Linked DNA regions of Drosophila melanogaster. The protein of the gene in region 1 interacts with the protein of each later gene in a pairwise test. Each region holds a gene or a part of one and is shown in the gene's direction. Other genes may lie near its edges.

Region 1 (3,270 bases):
AGCAGTACCACTCGAGATCCCAAGAGAGATATGTACAAACATGTAACACAGATGTGGCAAAAGCACACAGCCCGGATATTGCCAAGGAATTTAACAGAAATAGACTCAAATCTATTAAAAGTCACTCAAGAATTTCGGCTAACAAAGCGGTGGGTTGGAGGAAGAGGGAGTTGTGTCGCCGGATTGAAACATTCATTAATCATGCTAAAAATTGCTGACAAATCACCATAACGGCGGTAAATACAACTACAGTTGAACACCATTGAAGGTACAGTTGTGTTTGTCACTTGCAAGCAGTGGCAAATGCAAAAAATATTAGAGGGGATCATTAAAAACGGGATGTAAGGTGACAACCAAGTAGCCAAAGATCTAAAGTGGTTAGTCAGGAAAATCATCATATATATCTTAATCCCCTTTTTGCCGCCACCACTGCGTCCATGGCGTATGAGTGATCTGCGCGCCTGCGCAATCGCCATCGATGTTTGCTTATTACACAAAGCGGAACTCCAGACCAGTCCCGAGTGCGGTTCTATGTGGGATGTGGCTGTGATTGTGGCGGTCTTTGGATTTGCGCCTTCTGGTGCTTTATCGCTGGCCCGTCTAGCTGGCCATTGTTATGCCAGACAATTGCAGGCCGAGATTAGCATAACCTGAAAATGCGAACGGAAAAAAAGGGGCGGAGAAAGGAAGGGAGTGCTGTCGTTGCCCAAAGAAATAAAAGATACAGTAAAGCAAAGTATATTCGGAGATTAATTCGGTTTAGATATCTTAAATATGTTACATCTGAAAAATAAGAAAAAATTAAATAAAATTTATTTTATATTTTTAAGTTTAGTAAAGGAAAATGTAATAAATAGCACTGCTCATGAAGCTACAATTTTGTTTTGGAATTTAATATATAATAAAATCAATTAGATATTTTTATTATAGCACACGTTTTACTATTTAAGGAGGCAAGAAAAATGATACTCATACAGTTCAAAAAGAAATTCTCATTTATATTTTCTTAAAACTATGTACTCACTTCCAAAAGTTCCGAAGTACTTCTCCAGATATAACTATTCGAAATTCTCGTGATAGTATTTTCCTACTCATCTCCGCACTGAAAGCGAAATGAAGTAAACATTAAAAACCACTGTGAGGCTTGTTAAAATATGAAGAAATTCATTTTCATTTCGTTTCGCGTTCGTTGGCCGACGTGATGGGCAAACAAATTGGCCAGCGAGTTTGCGCACATTCCTTTCTCAACGCGGTGACGATAGCATTACCATTACCACTACCTCCTCCATTACCACCGCTATTACCTCCGCCTCCGTTGGCCTTCTACCGCAGACGAAACAGCCGAAGAGGCAAATCCCCCCGCCCCTCCGGACATCAGAGCCAGTTATGTTTTGGCCATGACAGATACACGCAAGTGCGTTTCCATTGAACTTGGACTACTTTGGGCGAGTTCGGTTTGCGGCTGCTGTGCGTGTTGCAGCTAGGGGAAATTTTCACGGTCAGTTGCGAGGAGGAAAATGACAAGTGCGAAGCACATTTTCAGCGACACCCGTCTTGGCCTGAAGTGCTGAAAGTGGCGGCTGCTGGCCAACTGCCCGAATGGGCCAGAAACCTAACGTCTGTGAGCTCAACCCATTCGGTCAGACATTACATTTTGACTGGTTTCTATTTCTTTTTTTTTTGCAACCTAATGGGGTACGATGTCTTAGGTGGGCAGTGGCCACCACACTCGGTCAGTTGGCCATTTGGGCATTTGCCGAGTTGTGGGGGGAGTGGGGTGTGCTGGTATTTTCTGGCCAAAAAGCTGGCCGAAGACAAAGCGAATCAGCTGCTGCACATGCAAACTCGGCGAACTCCCCGTTGGCGTTATTTTTCAGCTTTTCTTAACGATGCTTGAAGGAGGAAAATAGCAAATGGCCAAAAAAAAAAGAGCAAGAAAATTATTATTATTGTATTTTCTGCATTTTAAGATTCGGTTGCACATGGGCTCTGCTCGGCTTTTTGGGCACTATAAAAGCCGCTGCAAATTTGGAGCTAACCACACAAATCGGCGAGGCGTCAACACAGACCAACAGTTCAGTAGTTCAGCCAATAGCTAGCGCACCAGGATCGCAAGGATTAGCAAAATGTACAAGTTGGTGAGTCTACCCTATGGCCAAGTCACATGATTCTGGACCTAATGCTATAATTTTCATCGAAAAGGTGGTGTTCTTCGCTCTGCTCGCCGTCGTGGCTGCCCGTCCGGGTTATTTGGAGTCTGGTCCACTGCTCCACAGCTATGCCGCTCCTGCCATCATCCATGAACCGGCTCTGGCCAAGGTGGGCGCCATCATCAAGACCGTGCCCAGTGCCGTCTCCCACCAGAGCATCAGCCAGGTGCACAGCTCGGCCCACATCATCCAACCGATTGTGGCTCCGGTGGTGAAGACCTATGCCGCTCCCATCATCAAGACTTATGCGGCTCCTGCCCTCCACACGACCCTCCTCTCGTCTCCGTGGGCCGGACATGGTTGGGCTGGCCATGGCTGGGCTCCGTCCTGGTAAATGTGATGGAGGTCCTGGATGGCATTGCGTGGGCTAGCAACTTTGGCTTACCCTCACCTCGATCCCATGCTTAAACTCTCAACCCTGCTGTTTTGTTTTTCTTCTTTCACATTTCGACTGATGTAAATAAATCCATGTTTCATGCTCAAAATAATTCTGTGGCATATTTCTTAATGGAAAAACACTTTATGCTACCAGTTCACTAGAAGTTAGATAAGAACTCGGTATCAGTGCTTTTACCTTAACTTATGTGGCTGGTAGTTCTTATCTATCACGATTTGGTTGCTTGATGTTTATACGTGTTTTGAAATTTATCTTGGATAGTACTTTATTCTAAATCGTTATCAAGCAATTATTGTTTATTGTTCGTTGTTTAAATTATGCTTTCAATACTCTACTTATACCATTTATAGTAGTACATATATGAACAATAGTATATCCTTAATGAATTAATTCTATCTGAATATAACATAGAAATTGATGACTGTTTAAAAAAATTCCAAATTTCAGGCACTATGTAAGATCAATTAATCTTCAACTCAAAACAAGTTTTGTTTAGTAATCCAATTTTTTTTCAGTAGTAATCTACAACTATAAGAAATGTGAACTTATATTATATATATAATTATATATTATATATATAATATATGTATATTATATTATATTATATTAATTTGTATCTTCAATTTAAAAAGGCATTTAAAGCCCAAATTTTCAAATTGTAGC
Region 2 (3,755 bases), on another chromosome or scaffold:
ATGATATATATTTTGTGTAAAGTAAATATGTGCAACCAGGACGCTAAATGTAACTTTAATTCTACCAACGAAACTTACGTTGGCGGGGGTTTGGTTTTGAAGTGCTTCCGGATTAGAGTACGTCTAAACATTCATTCCTCCAGCCAGGCATGGTATTTAGCAAAGCTTAACCTTCATATTTGGGGCTTCCTGAGGTGCGAGCTGGTTGAAAGTTAAGTAGCTGGCAAAGTAAACAGGCGGTTGTAATTCTATACTGATACTGCAGACATTCGTAAATCTTAGGTATTATAATTCCGGGAAGGGATGACGTATAGATAATTAATGAGGGAGCAAGTGAAATGCAAGACTTGAGTGGAACAGCCTTCGGTTTGAATGGTTTGACTCCCTTTGACTGCCTTTTTGCCGTCCCGCCTGATTTGCATAGTTTGGGGCTGACCGTCTACTCGCTCAATAATGAATGCGTCAGTTTCAAATGGCATTACCCCCGAAAACGAAGTTGATAGTCTGCGACAAGTAGTATGTGCAATGCTATGTGGCACCATAAATAACGTGGCCATTCTAGTGTCGCATTCTGGGTCCTTTTGCTTAGCAATGACAATAGTAAAAGTGCTGAAAGGGAAGCACGATTAGAGCTATTACTTACACTGGCTATGTTTATGTTTTTATATGTACTGTATGCATTCATGGCGCAGCAATTCTGCAAAATTTCTGCATATTTGTTAGGGTGGACCTGAGTTGTACTCATGAGTACTCATACAAATCACTCATACGTAGTGTGGACCTTTTCATTTGATTTTCACAAGGAAAGGCATGTCAGTATCCAAAAGCAATATTAAGTAAAATAAATGTCCTGGTTGGGATCTTACTTTCTCCATAAAAATAAAGTCATGGGATGTTTCCGAAAGAGGAATCGTGTTAGGAATCTATGTTAGCTTGCCTAACAGGTCGTATGAGTAATTTATTAAACGCTTGGCTTTCTTGTTATATCTGATCATTAACTTGTATATAGGCTATGATTCCCCATGAAAGTCCACCCTACGGCACGTACTCCGGTACTTGCACAGGCAATCAATAAAGATTTTTTTTTGGGGAGTTCGGGTGGCGGGTGCTTTGTCGCGATGCGGCAACAACAGCTGTTGCAACGCCAGACGACCCCCCAAAAAAAGGAAAACCGAGCAGCAGCCAGACGCCGGCAACCGGGGAACCTCATCATCGTCATCGTACTCCAGCACCACCCGTTTCAAGAAGCAATCAATGCACTTCTGGCCATGTGCCAAGTTTCTCTTCCGAAAACCTGGAGAGGAGCAGAGAATCGGCCAAAAGAGAGGAGCAGCGGTGTATAAGAGCTGGTTGGGTTCCATTCGGTTGCGGTTGAAAAGCTAAAGTTAATTTAAAGTTCAACCCGTTTGGTTTCTAACTTTTCGGAACTTTAACCGTGTATTTTGGGTTTGGTTTATATAGTTTGGTACAGTAGTAAAAGATACGAAACATTTGCGTTGAAATCAATTTCAAATTGTTGTTTAATTAAGAAGCCAAGTTCCTTATTTACGTAGGTGCTCACAGTGGAATATAAGAAATAATTGTTCCTAAAATAATCCTTTGTACACGAATACAAGAACTTACTCAATAGTTTAAAATGCTTACCTATATTTTTGTAACGAAATATAATTCATTTTACATACAAATAAAAATAAACCGAATTTATTTGCATTCAGCTTGGTAAATAATAGAGTAACTGCGTGACTGCATGCGATGCAAAATTATCTTTGAAGTGCAGACTTTTCGAGTTGTGCCGCGTCACTCGTTTACCCAAGGCACCCACACTGTCGCACTCGCAGACACACACACACACGCATACCAGTGCGGCCGTGTAGCAACAACAATGTTGAGCAAGGTGCGCTGAGCCTCGCTCTTTCGAATCTTTCTCTCCGTTTCGGTTTCAGTTCACTTCTGGCTCTCGTGCAAAGCGCATCGTACAGCGGATATATCGCATCTGTATCGTATCGTAAAACGAATCGTATTCGCATCCGTGTCGGTCGCATCTGCGTGCTAGTGTGTGTGAGTGTGCCCGGGTGTGTGCGAGTTGGTGTGTCCGCTGCAATGGTCTTGGCTATTTGAAGCGCAAAAGTGCAGTATTTACTGTTTGGTGATTCACTCAATCATTAGAATACCCAAGAGATAACTATCATATCTTGGGGTTTTCCCAACGAACCGATCCGATAAAATGGAAACCCTGTAAACTCATGCTCCCCCGCCTTAAAAATCGGTTCAGTGATTTACGTGTGGGTGTGGGTGCAGTGCTTAAATTATACACGTAAAATTTAAACAAATAAAGGCTGTTAAAAAATCGTAAACTCGAGATCCAGCTAGTGCCGAATTCAGTGCTAAAGTGAAACTTCTTTGTGCAAACAACAAAAACCGTTAATTGCCAGCGCCATTCTTTTAAAGGCCCCGACTTATAAAGAGTGTTTTCAGTGCCTATATGGTTTTACTTAAGTCTTTTGTTTATCGTTGTACCCATATTGTTTTCAGTTTATCAATATATAGATAATTATCTAAATGGAGGAGCTTTGTTAATTGATATAACAAGCCTTAAGCGTTAATGTTCCCATCTCATAGGTCCAAGTCAGAAAACCAATCCCCTTTCACTTTAAACAGATCAGAATCCAAGGATTAGGTCGCTTATTCTTTTTCCAAACTAATGAACAATTAAATGGCACGGCGTTGTTGGTCGCAAAGTTTCCATTGCCCGATGCAGAGACCCAAAACCAAAATAAACGGAACCCTTTCACTTTAAAATCCACAGAACCCCAAAGATCGAAAACGAGTTTCGCAAAAGAGCAAAGAGCCGAGCGGCGGCCATGCTTATATTCCATATCGAATAACTGAATAGCCGACCAATAAAGTGTTACTTGGCACATCCAACATCCAACGTTCAACTAGCAATCCAACTTACAATATCCAGCATCCAACTAGCTCCGTTGCATTGGCCTATATTCAAAATAGATCAGAGATCGACTCGAGAGACCGGAGGAGATGTGGATGAGGTGGTGACGAGGAGCTGCGGAGGAGATCGCCATGTGAGAAGAGCAAAACTAGTTTCCCATTTGCGCGCTTATGCTAAGTAATAATAATAAATAAGCGCAGTAGTCTCTGGCTTGCCGTTCGAGAAGTGACCTAAAAATACTGGTTTCGAGTGCGGTTTTGGCGTGAGAACGTGTAGCACAGCGAAGGCACCACCACCACCACCAATGGCCACCACAGCCGCCGGATCAGCAGCCACCACCACCAACACGATGGTGGTGAAGCGGCCAGGACCACCAGTGCCGCCCAGGCCCAAAGCAGCAGCTCAGCTGGCCAATGGAGCAGGAGCCCCTCCGATCATTCAGAAGAAGCCCACCTTCGTGAGCCAGCTGAGTGCAGTGGGTCGTACCTTGGTCTACAAGTCGCCAACGGTCAATCTGCCCAAGAAACAGGCCCAGACCCAGACGCCCACCACGGCGGTGCCAACGCCGCCGGTGAAGCCCCTGAAGCTGCGCAAGGCACCGGATGTGCCCACGGCCAAGCCCAGGGATTCAATGACCTCGGTGGTCACGGTCAACCGGCATAACTCGATAAGCGTGATCGGGAGCACGCCACAGACCACACCCCGCAAGGACACCCGCTTGAGCCTGGGAAAGGTGGACTTCGAGAGGGCGGGCCTCCAGCCGGCCAGTCAGCCACTTCCCAGGCCACGGAAAATTGTTCAAGTGCCC

What was found. The genes of interacting proteins can lie anywhere in the genome.
Region 2: the proteins of CG13042 (region 1) and CG31038 interact in a two-hybrid assay, tested with the Drosophila melanogaster proteins (one large-scale study listed by BioGRID).

What each region holds. Positions count from the first base shown.
Region 1 is NT_037436.4:16,307,272-16,310,541, reverse strand, and holds CG13042 (uncharacterized protein), read left to right. Parts: upstream 1-2,061; 5' UTR 2,062-2,126; coding exon 2,127-2,138; intron 2,139-2,202; coding exon 2,203-2,544; 3' UTR 2,545-2,696; downstream 2,697-3,270.
Region 2 is NT_033777.3:29,875,121-29,878,875, forward strand, and holds the start of CG31038 (uncharacterized protein), read left to right. Parts: upstream 1-1,938; 5' UTR 1,939-1,995; exon of another isoform or gene 1,996-2,806; 5' UTR 2,807-3,251; coding exon 3,252-3,755.